Linked DNA regions of Lonchura striata. The protein of the gene in region 2 binds, or shares a complex with, the protein of the main gene of each other region. Links are inferred from orthologs where the notes say so. Each region holds a gene or a part of one and is shown on either strand. Other genes may lie near its edges.

What was found.
Region 1: BAG3 (region 2) and HSPB8 share a complex: the UniProt entries of both Homo sapiens proteins name them as parts of the chaperone-assisted selective autophagy (CASA) complex. The link is inferred for Lonchura striata from reciprocal best matches to the Homo sapiens genes BAG3 and HSPB8.
Region 3: BAG3 (region 2) and STUB1 share a complex: the UniProt entries of both Homo sapiens proteins name them as parts of the chaperone-assisted selective autophagy (CASA) complex. The link is inferred for Lonchura striata from reciprocal best matches to the Homo sapiens genes BAG3 and STUB1.

What each region holds. Positions count from the first base shown.
Region 1 is NC_134620.1:5,260,664-5,270,910, forward strand, and holds HSPB8 (heat shock protein beta-8), read right to left. Parts: upstream 4,340-10,247; 5' UTR 4,208-4,339; exon of another isoform or gene 4,113-4,207; 5' UTR 3,842-4,112; coding exon 3,463-3,841; intron 2,443-3,462; coding exon 2,379-2,442; intron 1,524-2,378; coding exon 1,364-1,523; 3' UTR 774-1,363; downstream 1-773. UniProt on the Homo sapiens protein: Involved in the chaperone-assisted selective autophagy (CASA), a crucial process for protein quality control, particularly in mechanical strained cells and tissues such as muscle. Displays temperature-dependent chaperone activity.
Region 2 is NC_134609.1:27,402,142-27,411,866, reverse strand, and holds the start of BAG3 (BAG family molecular chaperone regulator 3), read right to left. Parts: upstream 4,044-9,725; 5' UTR 4,009-4,043; coding exon 3,838-4,008; intron 1-3,837. UniProt on the Homo sapiens protein: Co-chaperone and adapter protein that connects different classes of molecular chaperones including heat shock proteins 70 (HSP70s), e.g. HSPA1A/HSP70 or HSPA8/HSC70, and small heat shock proteins (sHSPs), e.g. HSPB8.
Region 3 is NC_134618.1:3,127,626-3,136,782, forward strand, and holds STUB1 (E3 ubiquitin-protein ligase CHIP), read right to left. Parts: upstream 4,178-9,157; 5' UTR 4,112-4,177; coding exon 3,926-4,111; intron 3,027-3,925; coding exon 2,828-3,026; intron 2,727-2,827; coding exon 2,561-2,726; intron 2,425-2,560; coding exon 2,334-2,424; intron 1,827-2,333; coding exon 1,770-1,826; intron 1,654-1,769; coding exon 1,537-1,653; intron 1,185-1,536; coding exon 1,059-1,184; 3' UTR 697-1,058; downstream 1-696. Other genes in the region: JMJD8 (jmjC domain-containing protein 8), read left to right, coding at 1-696; RHBDL1 (rhomboid-related protein 1), read right to left, coding at 5,875-6,146, 6,221-6,281, 6,978-7,078, 7,321-7,433, 7,514-7,662, 8,229-8,453, 8,667-8,825. UniProt on the Homo sapiens protein: E3 ubiquitin-protein ligase which targets misfolded chaperone substrates towards proteasomal degradation.

The DNA.
Region 1 (10,247 bases), on a different chromosome or scaffold from region 2:
AGCTCTGCAACAGCTGCTGGAAATTAAATATAATCTGCACAACTGGGTGAGAGTGCTCAGGTTCCCCTCCACCACCTGGAACCTGGGTGCCTTCGTGGCACGCGGTGCTGAGCCAGGGTTTACAGCACGTGGTGGGTGTTGTTGGTAACCACATCCCAGATGAGCCAGAGCGGAACATGTGAGGCTGTATTTTTAACTCTGAGGTCCTGGTAACATGGAAAACTGGGTGCCTGGCCCAGGTGCTGCACAGATCGATGGAAAATTTCTTGCCTCCCATCGACAGCTCGGCTTTGCTAAGCCCAGGCACTGCAGTGGCTTAGCAAATGGGGCTCTGCCCCTAGGAGTGGCTTTAAGGCTGTGCCCAGAACCCAGCAGACACCACTCGCCATTCCTCTGGGAAGTGCTTCCCTGTGGAGCTGCAGCTGGGGAGCTGGCGTGGTGAGATGGACCTGGGGATGGGGTAAGCCCAACTTTCCCAACTCACAGCCTGTTCAGCATCCCCAAGCAGGAGGAACATTTCCAACCCTCTGAGGGGCTAAGGCCAGGATGAGCCCATGGTCCTTGCCAGGCCTGATGCCTCCCCAGCACAGTGTTAGCTGGGACTTGGAATTCCCCCATCAGTGCAGGCATCCCATGCATCTCCCTTATCCTTGCCTTCACAGGGATGACCTGTGCCAAGCCGGGAGGTGGCACATGGTGGCATTCCCCTCGACCCCACCACCCTCCCATAGCCCTGTGCCCACCCCACCGGCTCAGCCGAGACGAGCAGAGGCTAAGAACATCAACTGGGTTTTATTCCTCAGGTCTGACAAGTAAAAGCACAAATTCTCTTTGGAAATAAGGAAAAAAAAAAAAAAAACCACCAACACCAAAACCCCAAACCAACGTTCAAAGCACGCAGACCGTTTCTCAGGATGGAGGCCACGCCATCAAGCTCCGCCGCCGGACGCGTGTCCTTTGCAGAGATGTAGTTTAAAAAAAAAACAACAAAACTCGTGGAGGAGGAAAGACGCAGAGCTACGGGTTTCCATGTCAATTTTAAAGAAAAAAAACAGGCCCTTTTTTTTGCTATTGTTATAAATATCCCATCCGAGCGACTCGGAACAAACAATAACCATAAGGAGGAGCATCCTTTCTGCTTGGCCCCGTGGGCACAAAATCTCTACCGGCACCTCAGGCCACTAGAAGCCCTCGGGGACGGTGGCTGGCACCCGGTGTGAGCCCGGCTCTCAGCTGGGGTGGCGGGTGCTGCCATCCCTGCGAGCGGCACCCGTCACCCTTGCCCGAGGCTGTCAGGACGCCGCGCCGCAGGGGACCGGGAGCGGGGAAGGGGACAAGGGACGGGGGTGCCGGGGGTGGCAGCTCAGGTGCAGGTGGCCTCCTGGCTCTCGACGGGGATCTCGCTGCCGCTGCTGCCCTCGCCGTACTGCTGGTAGGGAGGGATCTGGGGCGCCTCGATGATCAGCAGCCCCTCCGGGGACAAGGAGGCGAACACCGTGATGGGATCCACCTCGTAGGGCAGCCTGCAGGGGGGCAGGAAAGAGGCGATGGGTTAGGATGCTGCACCCCCGGTTCATCCCGACCCCCGGACCCCCAGCGGGCGGGGACCCAGGCAAAGCCTCTGTTATTACTGGAGCGCCTGGGAATGTGCGGGGATATTTAGAGTGGGCTGCTGGCCGGCCTGGCCGCCGCGGGAGCTCTGTTTAATCTCGCCGGCAGATGTGTTTGACGGGATGTCAGCGCCGCTTGTGCCCGCGGAGCGGGAGTAAATCCCGGCCGCGCACAGCCCGCGTCAGCCGCCAGCCTTGCCCGTAAAAGGAGCCCGAGCGGGAGCGAGCGGTGCTCGCCCCAGCCTTCCCGTGGGAGTTCGGGATGCACAGGGCTCCTTCAGGGTGGAAAAGCAAAGCTGAGCTGCTGCCAGCTGAGGAAACCCTTCCCATGCCCTGGGCTTTGATGCTTTTCCCTGTTAACCGTGCGAGCCCCGCGGGTGGGATCTGCCCCCCACATCGGTCGGGGCTCGCCTTTGCGGTTGTTGTTGCCAAAGGGAGCCGCGGGTGAGTCAAGGCGATAGCGATCTCGCTGACATCACGGGGATGCGGGGAGCGCAGGGATGCGCTCCGGGGCTGGCGGTGCAGCCCGCCCGCCGCTCCCGGGGACGCCTCCTCCCCGCGCCCCCGGCCGCAGCCCCGGCCGTGCGGGAGACTGACAGAGCGCCTCAGAAAAGGCCTCCTCCTCCTTTCCTTCCCTTGGGAAATCGCCCTATAGCTCGGCCCGGCCGGGCACGTGCAGCAGAAGGGCAGATTTTGGGGTGGAAAATCTATGCGTGTGAGCTGGGGTGCGGGGACTGGCAGAGCTCGGCCAGGCCGACCGGTACCTACTGGATTTTCTTGGTGAAGTTCTTGGAGACGATCCCTCCTTCCACCTGCTGCTCCTCGTGCTTGCCTGCAGGGAAGGCCAACACCCCACATCAGGACCTTACCAGATTATTTTCTCCCCCAACAAACAATAACAACTAAACCAAAGAGAAAAGATCTCCAAGCAGCTGTTTCTCTGTCCTGGTGCAAATTATTTCTCTGGGGAGGGCTCAGGAAGCCTCTCCATGTGAAGAGATGCTAGACACAGCACAGCCACAATTCCAGTGGAAAACCAGGATCTCACAGGCTGCCAAGAGCTGGGGCTTAAGAAAATAAGCAAATAATGAAACTATTGTAGGTGGCAGCATCCCCCTTGACCTCACTCCCCAGGATGGGTTCCTTTCTCCCCCTCTGTCAGGCTGGGGGTCCCTGTACCTGGAGCATCAGCCAGAGGCTGCCTGGACCCCCCCCAGCCTGTAGCTTTCCCCCTGTGCTGCAGTGAGCTCCAAATAAATACTCAGGGCTGCGTTAGGTGGCAGCCCCCAGCCCCCCCGGTGATCCCAGCCCAGAGGACCAAGGCACAATGGGGAGTGCCAGGCTGATGGGACACTGAGGGCAGTCGTGAGCACCCCAAAAATGCTGGACCCCACACCCACTGCTCCCGACATTAATTCACTTTTCAGGGATGTGTTTCTGGCTGACTCAGAGCCGAGCTGGGCTGGGGGCAGTGAGCAGCTGCTCCTTTCTTCCCAGCTTCTCCCTCGGCCCCTTTAAAGGGAATCTCCCTCCGTGCCGACCTCACCCTGGCTATAATTAACCGAGCAGAGCTGGGGCCCCTCTTGGCAGCTCGCTGCAGGGTGCTGCCAGCCAGGGCAGAAAGCAGGGAGATTTACCCCAAAGGACACACGTCCTTCTCATTTTGGCAGCAAACCACCATGGCTTGTGAGCCAGATTCCCCCCCGTGACACCCAAACTGCCCCGGAGATGCCCCAAAGCCCTGCTGCAGAAGCGGGGGGTTCCGCCGCCGCCTTAAAACAAAGGCGATTTTGGCATTTTGCAGCAATTCCTTGAGCTGGCAGTGCCACCTCCGCGGTGCCTCGGCTCTCACCTGACACCTCGACGTAGCCATCCTTGGTTTTGACCGTCAGCTCCTCGGGTTTGAAGCTGTGCACGTTGACACACACCTTCCAGGGCTCGCGGGGGAAGGGCGCGGGGCTGCGGCTCTCGGGGTACCCCCCGAAGTGGGCGCCGTAGGCGGGGGCCATGGGCGGCGAGCGGCCGAGCCCGGCGCGCAGGGGGCCCGGCCAGGTGGTGGTGAGCCGGGGCCGAGCCCAGTCGGGCCAGTCCGCCGTCAGATCCCCGGGGAAGGGCGACAAGCCGAAGTCATCGTCCAGCAGACGCGAGGTCAGGCCGGGCTCCCGGAAAGGGTCGCGGAGGCTGCGCCTGCCGGGATAATGGCAGGAGAAGGGCATCTGGCTATCGGCCATGGCTTCCTTCGGAGGGGTCTGAGCGTGTCCCCGGGGCTCTCCAACGGAGCCTCAGCCTCTGTGCGGCTGCTCCTGGCTGCAAACTTCCCCCGGGAGCCTGTCCCGGAGGAGACGCATCCACCCCGGGACGGTCCCTCCTGCCCGGCACCAGGTGAAGGACGATGAGAAAATCAATTCAGGCTGAATCACCGGGAGCTGGAGCAGCGCAGGAAGGACGGAGGGAGCTCTCTGGCCGCTAGAAAACGCTTCCTGTCTGGCTGCGATCCCAGGACTGGGGAGAGGAAAATAAAACTTCTTGTCAGGAGAGAGAGAGAAAAAAAAAATAATAAACCCAAATATCCTGAGATTAAAAAGCTTCTCTCTCACTTCTCACTCTCCAGCACTTTATGTGCAACTTTCCCTGCTGCTCCTGGGTGAGAACTGCAATAAATGCCTGAGCCTGGAGCCCAGAAACTTCTCTAACCTTCCAGCCGTTGGGCGAGTACTATTTATATGGATTTCGGAGGAGGGGGGTGTGTGTTTTGCAAGTCCTGCCCTGTCAGCCGAGTATTTTGGAGAGGATGAAACAGCCGTGGAGAATTTGGGCAGTGGCAGCTGACCTCTCCTGCTGGCCCGAGGATCCCGGCTGCCACGGGGCCGTGGCGCTTCGGCAGCTGCCCCGGCCCCTGCCGCCCCCTCCTGCTGCTCTGCCCGCCCAAAATAGCCCCCAAGCTCACTCGGGGCCGGCTGCTTTCAGCGCGGTGTCACCTGTTAAAAATACCGTGGTGGGGTGAGCAGGCTGCTCCCCTCACTGTAAAGGCACGTGTCCCCACGCCACCGAGCACCGCCGTGCCGGGAAATGGGTCACTGGGGGCACCCCCAGCGCCCTGGGACCCGGGGGGGCTGTGTGGGGCTGGGGACAAATGAGCCCCTCCAGCACTGCGTCTTTGGACACCTCCACCAGCTGGGCCCGGAGGAACATCCCCTAAACTGCAGGGAGGAGAGGGACCCCCGGCAGCAGGCAGCACAGGGGCTCAGGGCGCTGCTCAGCCCCTGCCTCCTCCTCCTCCTCCTCCTGGCCCCACCGCACGGCCCGGCCCTGCCGCAATCGCGGTGCGGGCAGGGCGAGGCGTTAATCACAGCCGCGGCCGGGCCGGTAATTACAGGGCAGCGGCGGAGCGGGCTGCGAGCTGTGGGAAGGGGCGCGGCAGCAGCACCGCAGGGGCAGCTCCCAGCGAGCATCGCCCGGGACACACGGCCCCGAGCCCGGCCACAGGCGGGGGCACGGCTGGCGGGGATGGGGGTCCCCATGGAGGCGATCCACGCACGGCTCCGGTGGGCAGCGGGCTGTGCTGGACGATGGGATGTCATCAGTGAGGGTGACGTTGGCCACGGAGCCACTTCCTCATGCCGCATCCTGGCTCTGCATCATGCTCCTTCTCTCCAGCATCTGCAATTTTTCTAATGGACTCTGTGGAAGTAATTGCAGCAGGAAGGGTTTAATGCAGCACAGGGATGCAGCCGCTGGTCACTCCACGGCGTTAATCGCGGCAGCATCGCTGGGCACGGGGAGCTGCCTCCCCTTGGCTAGGGCAGGGCTGCCCCTCATGCACGGAGACACCTGGGCATCACAGGGGTCTCCTGGGGTCTGAAGGGATGCCTGGAGGTGCCCGAGAAGTGCCCGAGGAAGTTCCAGGTGCCAGCTAAGTACTCCTGGTGTGGGGAGGCAGCTGCTGGCAGAGGGACTGAGCATCCCCCTCCGTTCCCTTGTCCTACCCGGCTGCCTCTGCCTGGCTGGGGGCTCCTGGTGCCCGTGGGTGACAGTACAGCGACAGTCCTGGGGGTCACTGCCACACACAGCCTGAGCTCAGCTGGACAAGTCTCAGCTTGGCTGAGGAGCAGGTGGTCCTGCCCCACCACCCAGCTCTGCCACCCCCTTGGGCAAACAGCAGCGCACGGGGTGAGAGGGACAAGCCCCGAGGAGGTTTCAGGCAGTGCCACGATCCTGCCGTGTTTCCAGGAGCCTCATAACATCCCCCATCCCACGTTTCCCACATAGCTCCAGGCCATCCTCCCTCCCCGGCCAGGAATTCTTTCTGTCGCCTTGTTCATCCCCATTAGTCACACGTCCCCTCCTCCCGCCTGCTCTCACCCTCTCTGGGCCATCCCAATTTAGCTCCTGTTGTCATTCCAATCCTCCCGGCTGCCTCCCACCACCGAGCCACCCCACGACATCAGCTCTGGGAAACATGAAGTGCCCTTGCAGCCCCCCTTCTCCTCCGAGTGACCTGGGGATGCTGCCCCGTGTCCCCACGATCCACCTGTGCCATGCCCAGACCTTTCCTGGGTGCCCATCTGAGCCCCCCAGGGGACCATGGGGACATGGCCCAGGGCTGCTGCTCTTCTGCGGGGCTTCCAGGGTGCTGGAGAGTCCCCACTGCCCTGGTGAGGTGAGAAGGTGACAATGGCAGGGCCCTGTGGCATGGGAACTCTGTGCAGGGCTTGGAGCAGCACAGGAAGGGAAGGGCACAGCCCCGAGGAGAGCACTGGTGAGCCCGTGTGACCTCCAGGGAGGGATGGACGCATTTCTGGCTTGGACTCCCAGTGCCTGAACAGGGTGGGGGAATCCAAAGGGCCTGGCAAAGGGCAGCAGGAGCCTGGCCCAGCAGGGAAAGGAGAGCTGCCAGAAATACTAGCCCACAACTTTTTTTGCTTCAGCCAGTGCCCTGAGGAGCCAGTCCTCAGCAGCTGGGAGTGGAGGCACATGCCCTTCTCTGCAGAGCAGCTGAAACAACCCAAAATATCCCACCGCACACGCTTGTATCCAAAAGGAACATGATGCAAAGGAAATACTGTCCGAACCTTTATTGGAACCTTTTTCTAACCAGGCTAACAACTCAAACACCCAGGAAGACTAAAGGATACAGAACACATGTGGATGGAGAGCAAGGGGAGCTTTACAATGAACTCAAACAAACAGATGTGCCGGTGTCGTTGGGGGTGGAATCAACCAACAGGCAGAGAACAGAGACACCGTTTCCCTCACGGCTTTTCTCATGTCTTGGCTTTTGTTCTACGTCTCCTGCTCACTCCCTGGGTTTCAAAGGTGGAGAGCTGCCCTGGGCTGCTGAGGGTGTTATTCTCTAGGCAATAGCCCAAAAGCTGGGGTGCTTCACCATGACACTGTTGCTTTGGAGACCCTCCCAGTCATGTGCAAACTGCCAGGTAGCAGCGAAGTCATGAGAATTATTTATTCTGTGGTGAAGAGGTAATAAAACCCCACTGCACACTGAAGGGCACCTGAACCTGCCCCTTTCTCAAACCAATACCCCAAGAGCCCGAGGCTGAGCACCCAGCAGCTCTGGGCCAGCTCTGTGGGAACAGCCCAGCGCTGGCACTCGCCTGCTGATGCTGGAGCTGTGTCCACAGTCCCCCAGCACAGGCAGCTCTGCCCCGGGAGCACAAACACCTCCCCCGAGGTGGGCAGAGCAGTGGCTGTGGCCGTGGTGGAGCGACGCTGGGGCAGGGTGGGATTTTTAGCACATCTCATGCTCTTCTCAAGGCTGGGGGAGGATGCCTGCAGAAAGCTCTGTTTGTGTTAGCTAATGAGCTCACATCAGAGAAAAGCTACTGGCACAAAGCCTGGGGAGGGGGCAAAGCAGGGCATGGCACAAGGGTCTCAGGATGGGGCAGGGTGGACATCCTTGCTTCCTGGTGGAGACCACGGCCAGTCACTTCGACCCTATTCCCTTCCTCATCACTGATGCAAAGGGTGACAAGTGTCCCCTACCCAGAGGGAAGAGGGGACCAGCAGTAGGAGATCAGAGAACTCCAGGAATTTTTGGTGATGGCAGCCCTATGCCACGTGGCAGAGGAAGAGGAGCAGGGTTATTCCTCCACCAGAACTGGCCCATCACCTCTGAATTCCCCACTCCTTTCCAGGGGGATGTGATCTGTCAACAGAAGCTGGTTCAAGGAGATGGAGAGTTTTCCCCTGCCTTGCCCATCTCCATCACAATGAGGTTCCTCTCTAAATATTGGTGGTGAGGTCCAAATGAGCCAAATTTGCCTTCCTCTGTCCAACATATCTGGCAACACTTCAAAGGCTCCTGCCTTCATGGACCCAACAGCATGACCCAAATAGCTTTTTTTAAAGTAATGGTCAATAAATAGAAGAAATAAATATTAAATAGAGGCCAAGTCCTCTCAGCCTGTTCGATATATGTACAATGCATAGCAAAATAACAGTGACTAGCTGTTGCAGACAAGTTTGGTGCAAATTCAGTCCCCAAAACAACAAAAACATTGAGAAAATTGCAGTTAACATAAAGCAAAGCTCAGCTGAGTGCTGCAACCAATGAAGAACAGAACAGAACAGTGCTTTGAAACATCCCTTATCTTTACTTCCCAGCAAACCTGCAGAAGTGGTGTTGGATTTTCTGGAGCATGGGGTTGGGAGAGGTGGGACAAGCCTCCCTTGGGGGGACAAACCCAGAGCCAAGGCAGGTCCAGTGAATGGGGAGAGCTGATGGCTCCAGGCTCAAGGAGACATTTGGAGTGAGCGCTGTGACGTGCTCTGCTGGGAAAGGCAGCAGGGGTGCTTTGTGGGATGATTCAAAATCATGGGTGGGAAAGAGCCTTTGAGTGCGAGACAGGGCTTTCAAAAAACAGCCAAGATATTACCCTGATGATGTGACCACAGCAGCGATTCAACACCAAAATGACCAAGCTGCCTTTCCTCCAGGTGAACCTGCTCTTTGCAGAGAGCACCTGCAGCAATCTGAGGTGTTGGATGCAGAGCAAAAATCCGTAAAAACAGTGAATGAGAGGGAAAAAAATAAATTAAAAAGCACTGGCAAAAGGCACAGAGACAGAAAAACTCACAGCTTCACACAAACCCACAGAAACCTCATCTGTCCACTAACAGGAAGGGTGTACTAAAGCTTGTACTAAAAATATTAAATAAGTTAAAAAATAAATAACACCGAGGGAAACTCACATGTATATGCACATGTGCACATACACACATACACACACAGCCTTGATCAGATCCGTCACCAGAGGCTGGATTTTGCAAGGATTCCGCAGGGATCTCTTTCTCACAGTCTCTTTTGTTTTCCCACGGGTGGGTCAGCGCGCAGGGATAAACACGGCAGGGGAGTCCTGGCGACGGCATCCTCGCAGGGAAGCGGCGCGGAGCAGCGCCGGCCGAGCCAAGGCAAACAGCGCGGGGCCAGCTGGCGCCCGGCCGGCGGGCGCAGGCGACACTTCGCTGGTGGCACTGCCAGCACCCAGCTCGGCCGGCCAGCTGCCCCTCGCCGGCAACCCCCGACACGTCCTAGACCCGTTTCTGTGGTCACGCCCATCACATTCCTGCACAAATCTAATGAGAAAGGCGAGATTCCAGCACGGAAAGGCGCAGCTCTGCCCTGCGTCCCTTCGGCCGTCCCGGGCTCTCCGCCCTGCGCCGGAGAGCGCAGAGGGACACGGTGGCAGCAGGAGCGACTGTCACTCCTCCGGCCACCTCACTGAGAGGGGCCAGAGCTGTAAACCTTTACACGAGACCGGCGGCATGGATACATTTGAACAAACAAACAGATCCAAAAATAACTTAACGTTAGAAAAAAAAAAATTAGAATAAATAAATACTGGTCCATTCTGACATACAATTAAAAATATAATAATAATAATATTAAATAAATAAATAAATAAATATTTTAGAGAGGTTTACTCCAATGCAAGTCTGCTTGGGAAACCCCAGGAGCATTTAGCTGCCACGGACTGAACAGGCAGAGGCAGTCCTTGATGTAGGGATCAGCTGGACGAGTGCAGGAGCTGCTGTCAGCCCCACACAACCCCTGGGGTCACAGGGGGTGGATGCTGCCAACCCTGGTGTGGTGCTTCCAATCATCTGTTCCCAGCCACGAGGACTCCAGTCAGTGTGAGTTTGGTATTTACACCAGTTGCACAAAGCCCCTCTTCTTTCCTTTCCTAGTTTTGGATCTTCAGGCTCTCTGCTTCCTTGCTGCAGCTCCATATGTGCGTTATGGGGTGCCAAGGGGCAGGAGGCTGCTCCTGAAACGCTGCTGGGGGCTGGGGAGCTCTGGGTTCCCCTCACTTCCTTTGGATCTTCCCAGGGAGCAGAAGGAGGGGGCATTTTAGCATCAAATTGGGAGAGACTCTTTGGGGAAGAAGCATGAGGTTTTCAGCCCTTTTGAGAGGGAGTTCACTGCAGAAGGTGGCCAAGGGGCTGCTGCTGGGGCTAGCACAGGAAGGAAGGCAGTGGCATCCTGTCTTTGATCCCTCAACCACAGCCCTGGAGCATTTGCTCAGCCCTACCAGGAGTGCTTCTCTCTGTATCCTAGAAAGGGTCTTTCCAGAAGATGGACCCATCCCCACTAAGCCAGCAGCCATACCAGTACCCAAC
Region 2 (9,725 bases):
CTAAGCCTTTTCTATATAGTACCTTTTTAATCCAGTAACTAACTTGTTAGCCTGACAGAATGCACATCAGCATTAGGAATGTAAAAACACTGCAGGTGGAAGAGACCTTAACTGTTACTAAGCTGACCTCACACTCCCTTCCCTTGAGGAGAACCACTGTGAGAGGTACAGCTTCAGAGAGGCTGTTCTGACCCCTCAATGCAATTTCTAATTTGGTCTACCACGGATTTTTCACTCAACTTGACCACCAGAAGTCAGTGCTCAAAAATAAGCCTTCTGCTAAAGAGCTGTGAATTGAGTGACTTCAGACTTATTTGGGGAAGCAGAGAGAAAAAGAGATGCAACAGCCATGAAGGGAGAGGATGGAAACTTAGGTGTAGTCAGCTGTTCCCCAGTGAAGCATCAGCAGCAGGGTGAGATGGCTTCTTCTTCCTTTGTTTAGCCTGTGCAGTCATTGCTGCAGCCAAAACTTATCATAGATCACTTTTATGGCTGCTCCCCGACTTGTGCCCAGCTGCTGCAGCTTTTATCTCAAACCCAAGGCACCAGTGAGCTATTGATCGCTCCAATATCCACCAGTGGAGCTCAGCACAGTCAATTCCTTTGGTTTATTTTTAGCTGCATTATTTCCCAGGGGGTTTACTGCATGTGGAAACAACACATAGAAGGGGCATTGATAAATACCTATACAAACCTTGTTTTCTTCTTTAAATGTAATCTATTTTTATTGACACTTTGGGGAACACCAAGTTAACAATTTAGTGTCATAAGGCAATCCTGCAGGAAGTATGCAGAGCTGTGATGCCCTCAGCACAGAACTACAACAAATAAGCATAGGAAATGAGCAATTCTATCAAATAAAAGGACAAGTGACACTGCTAATAAACACATTTTTTACTAGATGTATATACATCTTCACAGTATTGATTATACCTTTCCTTAAATTACTGTTAACTGATCAGATCCTTAAAAGAAAATCATTAGTCTACCAAGAAGCTTCATGAATAAATATTTTTCTGTCATTTGAAAATTCATCCCTTATTTCTCACTGAAACAACATGAGATTTTTCCCTCTTTCTCATGAAGGGCTCCCCAAGCCATCCTTATGCTGCCATGATTTCTTATATGTAACAGAAACAAACATGCAGAAGAATACCCATCCTTCACGTCAGTAAAAAACAAAAAAAAAAAAAAGGCCAGACTGAGTGGGAAATAACCGAGAGCCATCTGAATTCACAAATGCACCTAAAATACAGAGTTAAATGCAAAATCAAGGTCTGGTTTCGTTGCTTTAAAAAGGCTTTGACATGGGTTACAATTTCAAAGGAGCCACTTCAACTTTTACCCGATTATGTATCTGGCACAGATTACTGCAGCCAGCATGGCTACACTGATGTTAAGCCCAGGGTAAGTGAGAAGGCCAAGATCAAGCACTCGGGAACAACAGGACTTTGTTATGACACTGTCTCAGCCATATTCTTACCTAGATAGAAAAGCTCAGTTAGCCCTAGATCTGTGCTCCAGTCATTGTCCACTTAGTGTGCAATACCACATTTCATTGCCTAATCTTTTCTGAAAGGGAACAAAAATTCACAGACAGAATATTGGTGGATTTACTGCAAGACCACCTCAAAGGTGGTCAAAAATTTTCTAGTTTCACTGTCATATTTCAGTGAAAGCAATGCAGTGATGAAGTCAGCACAAGTTTGACCTTCGTATAATCATTCTTGAAAAGGTGCATGAAGTCTGACACATGCAGTCAGCTTTTGTCATTCTCAGATCACTTCTAGAAACCCCAAGTTCTCATTTGAGCTAGGCTGAGAATAATGAAGGAAATCAGAAAGCTCTACCCATCAAATCTGGTTTTTGCTTTCATCTGTGGTTATGTCCTTCCTATCTGTTTAGGTATTAACAGAAGTCTGGCATCTTCAAAAATCCTTGTTGGATTTGGAAGTCAATGTCAATGGGTAATTTGCTTTCATTGCCATTGCCCAGCTAAGAGAATATTTAGAAAAGGACGTATTTCCCTTGGGCCTGATTCTAAGATTCTTTTGCTAACTAGTACCTGTCCTTGTGGAATACACTGGTACTCAACAAACTGATGATTTCAGCAGCTGTCCATGAATTCCAGCAGACACATTTAACTCGAGGCTCTGATAAATGCCCATGTGAGAGCAGTTACACACAACTTCTACCACCATAAACTGGAAGACTTTTTTTAGCTAGGAACTCCCAAAAAACAACAGCTCATCTCTGGAGGCATTTCCCTGTCTCACAGTGAACAAACCCAAAGCACACGTTCCAGCTTGCAGCCAGGAGTAACAGATTTTCCTGTTTGGAAAAGAGTGTGTCCCACAAAAGCTGTTCAAAAGCAAATACAGCTTTTTCTACCTGTGACAGCCCTTGCCATAGAAGAGGCACTTCTCATCACCACAGATTTCACACGAGATAGGGGTGAAAATTTGTTTTGTTTCAGGCACCCACTCAAGCAGAGGGCTGATCCACCAGACAGCTTCCAACTCTCTTCACACCATTATTGAAAGCAGCTTGAATTTGACTATTCTGTTAAATAGGTTAGTCTCAAGTGGTATTCCTGGAACAAAACCCTTTCAGGAAACAGCACACTTTTCTTTTCAAGTACGTTCTATGGCTATAAAAACCACACCATCTTTATTTTTACTACCACAACAGCGAGTGTTAGCAGGTGCCTCCATAAAGGAGAGAAAGCACTTTTTCCTATGCTACTCTCAATATTCTTACTTTCAAATTCCATTTTTCTAAGACCTTTGTGTATTATTACTATAATTTATTTATAGACCAAACGAACTAGCACTTAGAGAGCTGCAAAGGGGGTTAATTTGTGATAGAGAAACACATCCCTTCCTTGCCGAGGCCAGCTGCTCTCGCACCGAGCTTTCAGTCACGGCCCGCGCTCGCGAACCGGGCAATTACTATTTTAAGAAACGGCAAGTTCATAAAATAATTAACACTCCTTGAGCGCGTCGCTCCTCTCGTTGTAGGGGAGAAAAACTCAACAGAGATCCGGAGCAGCCGCATGCCGCATCCAGCGGCCCCTTCCCCGCTGCTGCGGGGACACAGAGCCCGACCCCGGGGCTCCCCCCGGGGCTCCGGTGCAGCCCCGCGGAGCTCCGCGCCCGGGACGTGCCCGAGCCCCCGGCCGGCAGCGCGGCGGAGCGGTCAGCCCGCGGTTACGCGATGCTCCGCGCGGAGAAGAGCGCCGAGACCCCGGGGAATCGCTTTCCCACCAGGCAAATCCCACCAGGCTCAAGTTTCCAGCGCTTTCTGCCCCCAGCCGCCGCGCTGTTGGGCCGAGGGCTGTATTCCGCCAAGGAACGGGCTGTATTCCCCAAAAGCCGCGGAACCTGACCCGAAAGGGTCACTCCGCAGGGCCCCGGCCGCTCTCCCCTCCGCGCCTCTCCTTCCATGGACATATTTGGACTGAGATGCGGCTTTTCCCCGAGCGTGCTTCGGAACAAAACCGGAGCGGCAGCTGCCGGCAGTTTGGGACCAGGGAAAAGAAAACGGGAAAAGAAAAAATAAGTTGGAGCCCGAGCCGGATCTCTCATTTTTTTTAAAGGCATCCAGCGTTCGGGCAGTTCACAGCTGAAAAATAAATCAGCTTCGCCTCTCCCCGGGAGGCCGGGCGGACTTAACCAACTTTAAATAAACATTACAGGGCCGAGGTATCGAATGATTGAATGCACAAAAAAGGGACTGCAGTGCGTCAGAGCCAAAAGGCAGCTCCCGCCCTCCCCGCACGGCCCCGACCCCCCTCGCCCCGCGGGACCCCGGCCCGGCCACCCCCGCCCGCCCCACCTGCGGCGCCGCCCGCAGGCGCGGGTCGCTCCAGGTCGTGGTGCGGCTGTTGTGATCCACGAAGAAGGGCCAGCCGGTCTGCGGGTCGATCTTGATCTCCCAGCCGGGGGGCAGCGGCTCGGCGCTGCCCTCCATCTGCGGCGGCGGCGGGCTCTGCGCGGCGGCGCTCATGGCGGGGCAGAGCGCGGGCCGCGCCGGCCGCTTTATCCGCCGCGGGCCGGGGGGCGGGGGCGCGGGGCTGGAACTGTCTGGAAACGGCGGCGGGGGCGGGACGAGGGGCGGGACGCGGAGGAGGAGGAGGAGGGCGGGGGACGGCGGAGGAGCCGCCGGCTGGAAACTTCTGGCTGTGTCCAGCGCGGCTCGGCAGCCCCCCGGGGCAGCGGGGAGGGCTGGCTGGGAACGCCCCGGGGCGGCGTGGCCGGCTCTGCTCGCCGCCGGCGCCGCGCGGTGAGCGCCCAGCCCGGCTGCGCTCCCGCTCCGGCCGGTCCCTGCCGCGCCCCGAGCCGTCCTTGGGCAGCCCGCAGCCCGCCGGCGCTCTGGCAAGGCAGCTCCGACCTACTGCCCCGTGCTCTGAGCGAAAGATCAACGCTCCTCCCCAAAACGCCCTGCCCCGTGACTGATAATTCGGGGTTATGGCAGATAAACAACAAAAATAATGCTTCTTAAGTGAGGGTGTGGGCAAGCGTTGTTCTTCGGATTCAACTGGCTTGAACTTTCTCAGCACTTTGCAAATGCGTGTCTCAGTTCTCAGTTTCCCGTAGAAATACACCTGAAGGCAAAGAGTGTGTCTGTGAGGTTTAAAACTGGCTCTCTGATGGGTGCTCTATCAGCAGGTCATGCACTCAGTGGGTTTGGTTGGAGGTAACTGTGCTTCTCAACTGCACCACTTCAGTCATCTGACAGTCACAGGAGCAGCCGCAGATGCCTGTTGATAGTCACTCTAAGTAGAAGAGTGAATGCACAGTGTCCCTCAAACGCAGAAGTTACCTTCTGCAAAACTTTGCTTCGAGGAATTCTAAGTATGGATCCCTTGGAGGCAGATGCTTATTACTGAAGTATCTCTTACTTCAAGAAGACCCCTGGCTCTTCACGCCCCTGAGCACAGCCAGGATCTCCTTCTGCTCAAGGCAGGATCAAAGATCTCCTGATACTGCTTGCCACTGATGGTCATTCATTTTTTGACAGGAGGTTTTGTTTATCACACTGACAAACCAAGTAGTTGCTGACACTTGCTCCTTCACTCCTGCAGCTCTTCCATCCTGCGTGTCCCTTGCTGTCAGGACCGCACTGCTCCATCACAGACCCATTTTTCTGTCCCCACTGTTGTGTGCCTTTGACTCCTAAGTATTATAAATGGATAATTTTTTTCCCGGAGCATTTACTTGCAGATGTCTGTATTGCCATCACCTTTCCTGACTTACCTATTTTCTAAGCAACAAAGCCCAAACTTTGCTGATCTCAAAGTCCTGAACTGGTGCCTGTCCCTGGCCATGTTTTCTACCTCTGCTGCCTCTTATGCTGTCTGGTATAAAACCTCTGCTCAGCCTCAGCAATGTCAGCAGTAGCCTCAAATGGAGTAATATCAGCGATTTATTCTGCTTCCAATGTGCAGAGGAATTTCACTCCCGGTTTTGCAACAAAAAGGCACACTTAGACCATATGTTCCCTGTAGCATATGCCAGAGTCTCTTCCAAATCAACAAAAGCAGCTGATTCAGACACAGGGGACACAGATGTTAAAAAGGTCCTGCAGGAAAATTACTTTTGTAAGTTGAGGAAGTGATACAGATGGGGTTTGTAGCTGAGGGAATGTAAACAAAGGCACGAAGAATGGGGGGGGTCTTTTATTTTGCTGCAGCTGGCAGCCAACCATATACTCAGCAGAGCTAATGAATACGGTCAGCAAGTAGATGAAAAATTAATTAAAGGAAATTTCAAAGGGATATCTAACTTAAGTTGGACATTTTTGTGGGGGCATACCCTACGAAGAAACAAAGAAACTAGCCCATGATAATTTCACAGAAATTATCATGGGCTAGTGATTCAAAATTCATTCGAGCTGCTGCAGGGTCGACAAGCATCCAGCTGGAAACAGAACAGTCTGGGCTGACAGGGAAAAGCCTTTTAGTGATTGAATTTAGTTGGCAAGACATCACACTTTTTCTGTTAATGAAATTGTCTTTCCTGACAGGTAGGATTTAGCCTGGTTTCCTGTGCAGGTGAAAGCACTGCCAGTGAGGCAGGTTACACAGGATATCTACACAGGGACTCACTGTTTGCTCTCTGGTGATGGGGTGTCACTGGGCCATAGCTGTGACCCTGAGGCAATGTGGCTTCTAGTTCATGTTGTCATTAGCCATCCTTCAGATCAGAATGATTTATGAAAATGTCCATGTAGGAAATACTGCCAAGCAAAAATCTTGGCTTCAGGAAAATCTGTTATTAAGATAAGTGAGTCTCTGTAGTGTCTGGCTAATCTCAGATGAGACTCCAGGCTCAAGGTCTTTGTGCTCTATTTCAGAAGGGAAAATGCTCAAGAGGCATTTTCTACTTTTTGTGTTCTTCATGTAAGTGCAAACACAGCACTCCTGACTTATCCAGGTTCCTATCTGCACAGCGCTTCACACACCCAGGAGTACCAAACTAAACATTTGCTCCAGGGCCTTCCACTACAACTAGAAACCATGTACTTGTAGTTACCCAGAGTGGGTTTACTCTACAGGGTCACCCACGTTTCTCTGACTTGAACACGGGCTGCAGAGCTCCCTCCCAGCTGCACAGCAGCTCTAGCTCAGGTTGTACAGGGCAGCACTGTTGCAATAGAATTGTTATTCACTGCATTAATCAAGCAGATCTCTCTGGTGTGTCAGGAAACAACACTTCTTGCAGTGAGATCCAGATCAGCTTTCTACCTCCTGAGTACCTGCAGCACTTTCACAGGTCACCTGAGCAGGAAAGGCTCTGTTAAGCAGCACTGGGAGTTCAGGTGTTTGTTCTGGGTGAGCATTGCAGAGAGCTGGCATTGATGAACCTGGGTGAGTGACGTGCCTGGCACGTGTCGAGCGCTGTGCTGTGAAGCAGGCTCCAGTCCAAGTCCTCTGCTGGGTGCATTTGAGTCATATAAACACTCCTAATAAATGCAACAAGCACAGACTTTCTCAATCCTCAGATTCAAGAGACATGATGAATTTGACCTGCATGATTTCCATCTCTTGATGTTTTATGCAGAGTATCACTGAGTAGCCCAGGTCTTCACTGATTATATTTTGAATATCCAGGTGTATGAATAGCTCCAGGTGCATGAACTTTTTAAGCTACAAGCAAACAGGTCCCACTTATGACTTGATGTAACCAGAGCTGTACAGATGTTTGGCTTCATGGTTTGTTCGCAATCATGGAACTGTTTGTTGGGCCACTGAAACAATTGGGGCCTGCCTTTGAGAAAATTAAAGATGCAAAGTGATTGCTAATCTTTTACTAATCTGCCACTTCTGCTACAGACCACTTCAGATTTGATCTCTAGTATTTGGTACACAATTTAGTGTAACTGGTGGTGAAGTGGAGAACAGAAGTAGGTGAATGAAGCCATCCACAAATGGTCTGATCTCACTCTGACTGCTGCATGGTGCTGACATTGCTTGGCTCTTAGAGCTTGATCATGCCATCTGCTTGTTGGAGTCACAGTAACTGGCAAGTCATTTGATAGATAAATATATTTCCTATGAACTTTAATAGAAAATTCAAAGTATAAATAAGAAATTAGAGTGCTAATTGTACTGTTTAAATGGAGAAAAGCTTTTTAAATGTACGTGTTGGAATCACACTGCAACTACACTAAAGCTCTGCATTCCCAAAGCACGTACTCTGATTTCAAATTTTCAGATTTTTTGAAAAATACTGCAGGAGCTAATCCCAGCACAATTTTTACTTTCTTTTCCCTCTTTATTTCCACCTGGAATGAATTTGTCATAAACCAGGGAGCAAATCTGGCTGTGAACACTGCAAAACCAGCTTTAATTTCTGTGACCTGTATGCAACAAAAGCAAAATTCAATTCCAAGCATAGGCAGCATAAGACAACTTGAATGTTTAGAGCTACTCATTCTCTTAATATGTCATGATATGGCACATGCCAAGTGAATTAATGTTTCCAAAATAGGCATTATTGGGCTGCTCATTCTCTGTTCTTCCAGTGTCTGTCAGATAGAAGCCTAAGGAGGCAGCTCTTTGGTTTAGGAGTGTCTGGGTCTAACCAGGGAACAGAACTTTGTCTTCCTTGGACATCAGGAGGATGAAGGAGAGTCGGTCTGAGCCGGTGCTTTAATTGCCACGGTGGCCAGCACCCATTAGAATTGAGAGGCTCCCACCTAGTGGATAATCTGCCCTGCTGTACTCCGGGCTGCCACGGTCCAAATGTGCTTGGGAACATCTGAGTCATTTTTCCAAAGTTTACTGGCAAATCTTGGTCCAAAACAGTATCATTTCCAGACCTGAGGGTGCCCAATAGCAGAAACAGTACAGAGTTTGGAAAAAACAACTGAAAAGGGAGTTTAAAAACCCTCTTTGATGAGCAAATCGATCCTTTTATGAGCAGAATGTTGCACATGTAAAGGCAGAAGTATTTCTCCAGTTTCTGTGGGTACTGCAGCTGATTTAATTATATTGGTGCTCTGTCCCTAACCATCCCTTCCAAATATTTTTATTCCCTTGAATTGAAGAAGCAGATGCAGAGCTGATAGCATCTCTGGCTCTCTCCCTGGCACAGTGGAGTCTCAAAGGAGGCAACAGACTGAAAAGAAAGAAACAAATGCATGTCCTTTATTCTCTGCTCCTTCTGGCTCTCCTTGGAGCAGCATCTGCCTGGGAATTCAGCTCTGGAAGTGCCTGCATTTCCTAGCCATACAAAGAGCTCTTCGGGTCCGTGCCAGGAATGCAACCCCTCCACTTCTTCAGAGTGTGGTTGGCTGCTCAAGGCTGGCTCGCTGATAAGAGCAGTGACAAGGCTTGGAAGGAGCTTTAATGCCTCCCCTCCTTTCTCCTGGAGCTGTTTGCTGCTGAGCTCTCACCCCAGGCCCCCTCCAAAGATATCCCACAGCTGCAGTGCCATAATTACTGTTTGCCTACCTAGGGAATCCATCACACAGGACAGCTGGATCAGCAGGATGGGCAGAGGTGAGGAGGGTTTCTGGACAGTGTTACTCCTCAGAGCATCAGCTGTCTTATCCATGGAGGCATTTACTCATCCACTCAATGCTGCAAACCAGTCAGAAAAACCAAAAACTAAAACTAAAATCTGAAAACTTAAACCCTGTGGTGGCACAGAACCCACACATTCCTTTAATGGGGAATATCCCTGTGCCTCTGCTGAAATTTGAAGCAGCCACGAAGTCAGGACAAATCTTCACTGGCACAATAACCTTCAGGAGATGGAGTTATAAACAAAACCATGCTTGCAGGTATCCTCCTGCAAAAGTGAGTTATGCCATGGTGAATTTTAATACAGTCTTCAGCAGTAAAGAAATCCAAGTGGAAAATCCTACTCTGCATACTCCTGATAAAAACAAAACAACAGCCAGAGGATGCATTTATAAAAGACTACTTGTTATAATAATTTTCCTCTAATTTCCTTGCTAACGGAGTTAAAAATCCCATCTCTAGCAGTGTCTCTGTCTGGTGTTCACACATGGTTTATGATGGATTGGATGGCTCAGGGGTTCCTGCAGCAGGACTACAGAGGGAAAACCTGCAGGTCAAACTGGAATGCCACTAACTTCCTTCTTAAATTAGAACTGAAAACTGCAATCTGCAGCTCCTGATCACAATTTATTTTCTGCCCTCCTTGCTCGAGGGTCACCTGAGTGGGCAGAGGGGCAGGAAATTGGGGACTCCA
Region 3 (9,157 bases), on a different chromosome or scaffold from region 2:
CCACCTTCCTGGGCTAGGGCTGGCAGGGACAAGGACGTGGCGCCACCATCCCAGCTAGGCCAGGAGCTCCAGCTCCTGCCACCCTCAGGGAAAGGCCACTGCTGTTGGGACCAACTGCCTGGGAAAGTTCTGGTGTTTACTGGTCTTTACCCTTGGATTAAAGCTGTTCTACTGAAGCACGCTCTGTGTTGCTACGTCCCTGGAGCAAACCTGGTCTCCATGGAATGGCACCGATTCCCAGCCTGGATATCCCCAGAAATGGCTGCCGTGAACCACTCCAGGTCCTTTTCCACGTTTATTGCTGATTTTTTTTCTTTATTCTTTTTATATATATATATATATTCTTTTAATGGACATTGGCAAACTTCCAGAGGGTGCTCAAAAGCCAGGCAGGCCGTCAGCAGACCACAATGCTGGAATCTCAATTGGATGCAAATCTGGTGGTTATTTTTTGTGGGGTTTTTAAGGGATTTCATTAAAAGGAAGAAGAACTTTAACCCAGGTGGTTTTTCTTGGGGAACCACAGTCCCAGTGGGGAAGGGGAGGGGGGAAGCAGCCCCCTTCCAGCCCTGGGGCAGTTGTTTACCAGGAAAAGCCAGAGGGTGCATCAGCATCCCAGTAAGTGGCTGTTTACTGGGAAGAGGACCCAACCCTGGCCAGGCAGGAGGTGGAAGGAGGAGGAGGAAACAACTCTAAACACAGGGAAGGATGGGGCTCCAGGTGCTCCTCCCGGCAAGCCCCCTGTGGCAATCCCTGGAGCGGGACGTGCTCTTTGGGGACTGTTGCTGCCCTGGCTGGGGGGGTGACAGACACGATGGCGAGGCCACTGCCGAGGAGCCAGCATTCCAACCCCCGGGCAGGTCCTGGAGCCGGAGAGGGCAGCCAGGGAGCCGTGGTGCCCGCCCAGCCGCCGCGGCTCCTCGGGAAGGGGACGTGGTGACGTGCCCTCGCCCAGCGCCGGGCCGGGGCAGCCGGGGCAGAGGGGGAACAGCCGGAGAGCGAGTAAGGCAGGGTGCCAGCCCGGAGAGCCAGCCGTGCCAGGGTGCCGCCCCGGCCCCTCAGTAATCCTCCACCCAGCCGTTCTCCGAGATAAACGCGTCTATCACCTCCTTCATGGCGAGGTTGGGGATCAGCTGGTCCTGGGTCAGGGGACTCCGCGTCACCGGGTCGAAATGCCCCACGCGCTGCGGGGAGGAGCGCGGGGAAACCGGTTACTCCACGTGCCCGCGCTCAGCCCCGAGGCGCAGGCGGCGTGAGGCCAGCGCCGCGTGGCATCTGCCCTGGCACCCGGGCACCTGCCCGCAGGAAGAGGGAGAGCCCCTCAGAGGTGCCTCCCAGCAGGATGAGGGCAGGTCAAGGTGTGAGACCCCCGCCAAGAGCCGCCTCCGCTTTGGGCAGGGCCTGGCAGCACCTGCTCCACAGGGAGCTGCCCGGGCAGGTAACTGGGACCAAACCCAAGGAGCCTGTGGAGCCCCGAGTTCAGCAAAAATATGCCTTCCCACCCAGGCAAGGTCCTGGGAAAGCCCCCTGCAGTACCTGGAGATGCTCCTCAATGTCCTTCCTGTCGTAGGTGATCCCGCTGGGCGTGATGCAGGGCTCTCTCATCAGCTCAAAACTGATCTTCCCACACAGGTAGTCAGGGATGTCCCGCTTCTGTCTCGAGAGAGGCACAGCTGGGTCAGGAAAGGGGGCTGGGAGGTGGTGCTGGCTCAGAGCGGGGAGCAGGGTACACAGAAGGTTTACAGGAGCACAGGCTGGGCCACACTCACCTTCCTCTTCTCGTCCACTTGGGAGAAGAGCTCGTCCATGTCTGCCAGGTATTTGTCCTGAAAGAGAAGCTCTTGAGGACAAGGGGTCCCTGGTGTGCAGGGGCTACAGGACCCCAGGGAGAGCCCCAAAGCCTCCCATCATGGGTGCTGTGGCCGGTCCTTGGTGCCCCCTCTGCCTGTGCAGCTCCTGGCTGAAGCTGGCAGGAGCAATCCAGCTTACAAATAACCTTCCTTTGTGGGCCTATTTTTATCTGGGATTAGTCCCCAGCACCCAGACCCACATGTGGCTGAGAGCCACTTGTGTTTCCTCAGGGAACAACAGGCACAGCAGGTGTCACCGCTGCCAGGCTGGGACAAGAGGTGGCAGAGCAGGGGAAGCCATCATGGGGGGACACAACAGGCCTGCAGTGGTGGCTCGAGCTACAGAATGAAGGCTACGGTCCCAAGGTCTCCCAGCTTTCACCTGCACAGCTGCAGCCCTGCCGCTTCCCTGGGTGCAGCAGAGCCTGAGGACAAGGATGGGGACGAGGATGGGGACGGGGAAGCCCCCAGCCCCCCACTCACGTGTTTGGCCTCGATGCTGGCCAGCTGAACACGGCTCCGGCTCTCGTCTGTGTTTTCCTCCTGCTGAGTCTTTCGGCACTCCGCCAGCTCCCTAGGACAGAGTGGGACATCAGGAGGATGGGGAACACTGGCACTCCCTTCCCTGCTGCAGGGCTCTGCAGAGACACCTCACACAGAGCAGTGACAGCCTGGTGGCACTCAAAAAGCTTCTCCAGGTGCCCCGTTACCTCTCCTTCTCGGCCACGATCAGCTTGGTGAGGTGGGAGTGCAGCTCGTTCTCCTGGTTGATGCGCTTCTCCTCAATGCTGTTCCAGCGCTTCTTCTTGGCGATGCGCAGCGCACTGGGGATGTCATCCCCGAAATTCAGCCGCTGCTCCTTGGCGAGGTTGTAGGCTGAGGAGAGAAAGGGCACCCCAGCGCCAGCGTCCCTGTCGCCCTCCCTGGCCCTTTCCCAGCCGACAGGAGCAGGGGACAGTGGCAGCGTGCCCGCTCACCTCTCTGCAGGTTGGCGATGGCCTCGTCGTAGTTTTCCATCTCCATCTGGCACTGGCCCAGGAAGAAGTGAGCCTTCACGGACTGCCCGTCCAGCTCCAGCGCCCGCTTGCAGTCGGCCAGCGCCTTGTCGTGCTGCTGCATCTTCAGGTAGCACAGGGCCCGGTTGGTGTAGTACACGGCCACCAAGGGGTTCCGGTTCTGCAGGGACAGGCCCATGTCGGTGCCGGCGGCAGGGCCGGGACGTGCTGGTGACAGCCCGGTGACTCGGTGAGCCAGCGGCACGGCGCCGTCACCCTGGGCAGGGAGAGCCAGCAGTGCCAGCCAGGGTGTGCACCCCGTGGGGAGGTGCTGGCATGGATTGGGGACGGGCTGGGGCCGGTCCCCATAGGGCAGCCCATGGCCCAGCCCCCACAGGGGACTGTCCCCCAGACACCTCGACTGTCCCAGGCTGGGTCTGCCCTACCCAGCACAGCCCAGGGACAGTGCGGGGCTTGGGGAAACAGGCTCAGGGGGTGCAGGGCAGGCCAGCTTGGAGTGGGGTGGGGAGAGGATGGGCTGGGGGTGTCCAAGTCCAGAGAGCGGGCCAGGGTCGGGGGGTGCCTAGGCCAGGCCTAGGGGTGGTAGTCCAGGCCCAGGAATGGGGGGAAGCAGGCCCAGAGCTGTGTCCAGCCCTCCCCAGGAGGAGCCAGGCTCAGGGAGGGAACAGTGTCCAGATTAAAAGGTCCCATGTCAGGGGTGTCTTGGCCAGGCCCTGAGGAAGAACAGCGCCCAGCCCGAGGAGGTTCCATCCTGGTGATGCCCAGGCCAGGGCCCGGGAGATGTCCAGGCAGGGGGGAGGCAGGATGGATGTCCCATCTTGCGGGAGTCACGGCCCGGTGTGTGGGGGCTGTCCCATCCCTGGGGACCCCACCCAGCGCTGGCCAGGCCAGCTCCGGGCGGGTGTCCAGGCCAGGGGGGAGGTTCCAGCCCGGGGCCATCGAGGCCAGGGGGGAGGTTGGTGTGTCCCGTCCCGGGGTACCCAGGCCGGGGCGTCCCCTCCCCGGAGCTCCCGTGGCGGGGCCGGTCCCGCTGGGGCCGGGGGCGCCGCCGGGACTCACGATGGCGCGGCCGTAGCAGGCGGCGGCCTCGGGGTACTTGCGGCCGCCGAAGAGCCGGTTCCCCTGCTCCTTGTGCTCCTGCGCGCTGTGGCTCTTCTCGGGGCTGCCGCCACCCGCGCCCCCCGCGCCCGGCCCCGCCGCGCCGGGCCCCGCCGCGCCGCCCTCGCGCTCCTCCTTGCCCTTCATGGCGCGGCCCGGGCCGGCGCTGGGGCCGCGGCTCCGCTGGCTCGGCGGCCCCGGCGGCTCCGCTGGCTCGGCGGCCTCGGCAGCCCCGGCAGCCCCGGCGGCTCCGGCTCCGCCGCGCACTGCGACAGCGCCGCTTCCGGGGCGGGGCGGGGCGGGGCCTCGGCAGGACGGGACGGTGCCCGGTGGGCGGGGCTAACGGCAAGGGGCGGGGATATGCATATGAGGGGCGTGGCCAGCCCGGCGGATTGGGCGGGGCGCCCGCGGTGGGCGGGGCTAAAGACAGATTGGCGGGGGCGTGGTCAGTGCCGGGTGGGCGTGGCCTGGGTGTGGATTATGGGATTGAATAGGGGATGGTGGATGGAGGGCATTGGGGTGTGGTTTGTGGGTTTATGGACTTTAATGGGGTTTGTGGGGTTTGAGGGGTTTGATGGGGTTTGTGGGGTTTATGGGGTTTGATGGGGTTTGATGGGATTTGATGGGGTTTGTGGGGTTTATGGGGTTTGATGGGGTTTGATGGGATTTGATGGGGTTTGTGGGGTTTACGGGGTTTGATGGGGTTTGATGGGGTTTATGCGGTTTGTGGGGTTTATGGGGTTTGATGGGGTTTGATAGGGTTTGTGGGGTTTATGGGGTTTGATGGGGTTGATGGTGTTTATGGGTTTATGGGGTTTGTGGGGTTTGATAGGGATTGTGGGGTTTATGGGGTTTGTGGGGTCTGTGGGGTTTGATGGGGTTTGATGGGGTTGATGGTGTTTATGGGTTTATGGGGTTTGATGGGAGGGGGGCGTACAGAGTAGTGCAGGATGGATGAGGGGCCTGGCTGGAGGGGATGGGGGTGAATGAAAAGGGGGATGGGGGAGGCGGCACGGAGCTGATGGGGGGTGGGTGTGAGTAGGGGGTTGGGGGTTTGGGGGTGTGAGTGGGGCGGGTCCGGCGCCTGCAGCCAGCGCTGTGTGCGCTGCAGCGGGGGGTGCAGGGAGCGGGGTGGTCTGCAGACCCCCCCTCACCCCCGCGCCCCAGCCCCGCGGGGCCCGGCCCGGCGCCGCTCCACTGATCCCGGAGTTTTCTGCTCCAGTAATTCCCGAGCCCGGCTGAGCCCCCGCCCCGCCGCCCATCGGGGATGGGGGCACCCCCAAACCCCCGCCCCCGACAGAGACACGAGCCCCCGCAGTGTGCAAAATATTTATTTATACTTCAAAAAGGTCTGGGGGGGGTTAGAGCGGGGACCCCCCGCGCCCCCATCCCGAGCCAGGCCCCCGTGCCGGGGGTCAGCAAAGCGGGCCCGGGGCGCGGGGAGGGGGGCTGTGCCTCCGAGGGCACTGCCAAAATGATTGTGCCGGTCTCAGCCGATTCCTGCCGGGCTCTCCCCGTATCCTTCTTTTTATTCTTTTTTATTATTATTATTATTATTATTCCTCTTTCTTTTATTTATATTTATTTTGGCATAGAAAAATAAATGGCTCCTCTTTTGGCACCAGTCCTTCGTGTGCAAGTGCAGGTCCTGGAAAGGGGGTCCGGGAGCCGGCGGGGGTCCCCGGGCCCGGCTCCTTCCCGAGGGGCGGCGGCGCCGGGGCGGGGCCGGAGCTTCCCCTGGGGCCGGGCACAGCGGGGGCGGCGGGGACACCGGGGCGGGCGGCGCGCTCGCTAGCACCGAGGGGACGGGCGGCGGGGTGGCCTGTCCCCATGTCACGCGCGGGGACCCCCCAGCCCCTCCGCCGGGCTCGGCAAACAAACGAACCGCAGGGTCGGGGCGAGGGGGCGGGCTAGGGCGGGGGGGGGATCTGTGCCCCCAGCAGGTCGTAGGCGAAGATGTTCCAGAAGACGGCGAAGAGCAGGAAGGTGCCGTAGGACAGCAGCAGCACCCACCAGCCGCACTGGTCCTGCAGGCTCTCCTCGTAGCTGCGCAGGATGGTCAGCCCCATGCTGATGCCCACGATGGCCCCCGCCAGGTGCGCCATGAAGCTGGGCTGCGGCCCCGAGGCCGGCAGCGGCGGCGAGAAGCGGAGCCAGACGGCGCGGCCGACCTCGGAGCTCACTGCGGGACGGGCCGGAGCTGCTGAGCCCGCCCGGGGCCGCGCGGCCGGGGCCAGGGACGGGGGCGGTACTCACTGCACACCAGCGCCAGCACCATCCGCAGCAGCTTGTAGGGACAGCGCATCCCGGCCCAGTTCTGCGGGAACGGCAGCGAGGAGGGAGGGAGGGAGGGATGGATGGATGAAGGATGGATGGATGGATGGATGGATGGATGGATGGATGGATGGACAAGGGATGGATGGATGGATGATGGATGATGGATGGATGGATGGACAAGGGATGGATGGATGGATGATAGATGGATGGATGGATGGATGGATGATGGATGGATGGATGGATGGATGATGGATGATGGATGGATGGATGGATGGACAAGGGATGGATGGATGGATGATGGATGGATGGATGATGGATGATGGATGGATGGATGGATGGATGATGGATGGATGGATGGATGGATGGACGGATGATGGGCTGGCACAAGCAATGCTCCAGCACAGAGGTGGGGACTGCTGCCAGAGCCCCTGGAATGCCCCATGGAGCCCCCTCAGGTCCCTGCTCCTTCCCACCCACACCCACCCCATGTCTCCCAAGGTGGTCCCTCTGTGACAGTGCCACCCCTAATGCCACCCCACAGCATCCCCCACCAATGCTGCCCACCCACAGTGCCAGCCACCCCATGGCATCCCTCCATAATGTCCCACCACCATGCCCAACCTGCAGACAGCTCCCGTCCCCATTGTCACCCCATGGCATCCCCCACCGTGCTGCCCACCCTACAGAGTCATCCACCCCTGTCCCCCCTTCTGTGTCCCCTTGTCCCCTGGCTGACCATGACGACGTTGGCGAGGTGAGCAGAGCAGAGGGCGTAGACCCCCCCCGAGCCCCCGACCAGGGGGGCCCTCATGTCCGTGATGGAGACCGTGAGGGAGCCTGGGGGCACAGACAGGGCTCAGCACGGGGTCTCGCCCCCACAGCATTCATTAATTACTGTCTACATTAATTAATTACAGCCTGCATTGCCCCCCAGCCCCTGGCCGAGTGATGCTGGCACTGCAGGGTGGCAGCCAGCAGAGCCCAGCATCCCCACCAAACTCGGTGTGACCTCCCCGTGCCCCCCCGGGCTGGTGACAGGGACGGGGGGGATGGGGACAGTCCCCCCGGGGAGCACCCACCTGCCAGGACCCCGGCCAGGTAGAGGAAGCTGATGCGCAGGATGCCGTGCACCATCTCCAGGGGCACCCCGATCATCAGCTGCAGGAGGGCGTTGAACCCCAGCTGCTCCAGCCTGCCCGGGCACAGGAGGGGACAGGCTCAGCCTGCAGAGCCCCCGGGATGTCCCCAGCGTCCCCCCCCAGCGGGACCTACCCCACGTGCATGAACATGTAGGTGAGGAAGCGCCAGGCGCGCGCCCGGTGCCCGGGGTGATAGACCAGGGGGCTCTTCATGTACTCGGGGTGGTAGGTCTGCAGCACCCACTTGTTCAGCCGGGCCCCGTAGCACAGGAACACGATGATCTGTGACAAACCCCGTGGCTGTCACCCCCCTTCACCCCACATCTGAGCCCCACAAGGGCACCAGGATGTCACAGCTGGGGTCACCCATCCCCCCTGCCCCAGCTCTGAGTCCCACGCGTGGGCACAAGGAGGTCACAGACAGGGTCCTCACTCCCTTCGCCCCAGATGTGAGCCCCCCAAGGGCACCAGGACATCACAGCTGGGGTCACCCGTTCCTCCTACCCTGGATCTGAGCCCCTCCATGGGTCCCACCCATGAGCACAAGAACATCACCACTGGGGTCACCCATCCACCTCTGTCCCGGGTCTCAGCACCACCAAACGCACCAGGACATCACAGCGAGGGTCACCCAAACCTTCACCCCCTATCTGAGCCCCTCTGTGGGCACCAGAACATCACGACTGGGGCCCCCCAGCCCCACCGCCCCAGGTGTGGGCACAAAGCTGTCACCTGCAGGGTCACACATCCCTTCAGGTCAGCTCTGCGTGCACAGCAGCTCACAACCGTGCTGCCCGCCCCGGTCTGATCCCTGCCGAGGTCCCCGGGACCCTCCCGCCGTGCCGTACCTGGGTGAGGGTGACGGCTGCCATGAAGACGGGGGGCGGGCAGGTGCGGTGCTGGTAGAAGTACCAGCGCCGGTCCATCTCGCAGGGCAGGATCTCGTAGGCCACGTAGCGGACGAAGCGTTTGTAGATGCCGAGGCCGGTCTCGTCCAGCAGGACGTCGCGGGGCAGCGCCCGCTGCCCGTTGGCGATGGCGCGCTTGAAGCTGCTGGAGCGCTTGCTGCTCATCTGCGGGGAGAGACCGCGGGGGCAGCTCGGGACCGGCCTGGGGCCGCCCCCGGCCCGCCGCCCCCTCCAGCCACAGCCCGGACGAGCCACCCCGCGCCAGGGGAGACCCTGGGGACCGCCGGTGTCCGCCCCCCTCCCCAGGGGCGCGGGGAGGTGCCCGGCGCCCGCCCCGGGCTGGCACCCGCGCCGCCCCCGCGGCCGCCCGGCACTGACCAGGTCTACCAGCTCCTGGTAGCAGACCTGCCCCTCGTCGTTGCCCTGTGCCAGGGCCACCAGCATGTCGAGCTTGGCGGGGTCCAGGGGCAGCTCATGGCTGTGCACCAGGCTGGCGAACGTCTCCACGCCGATGAAGCCGGTGTTTTCGGGGTCGAGCTGCGGGGGCACGGCGCGGAGCGTCACGGCGGCGCCGCGGCTGCGGCTCCCCGCTCGGCTGGGGACACCTCCCGCTGCCCCTGGCGCCTCACGCCTGGCTCCGCGACACCCGTCCCTGCCTGTGCGAGGGGCACGGCAGCCTGCAGCCGCCCTGGGCCGTGCCCCGTGCCGTGCCGCTGTCCCCGGCTCCCCGCGGCGCAGCCAACACTCTCCCACTCAGTTATTCCTCGCCGCCAGCAGCCTGCCAGCCAGGAAGCCACCAAGCTAAACACACGCGCAGCCCTGGCACCAACCTCCTCCTCCTCCTCCTCCTCCTCCTCCTCCTCCTCCTC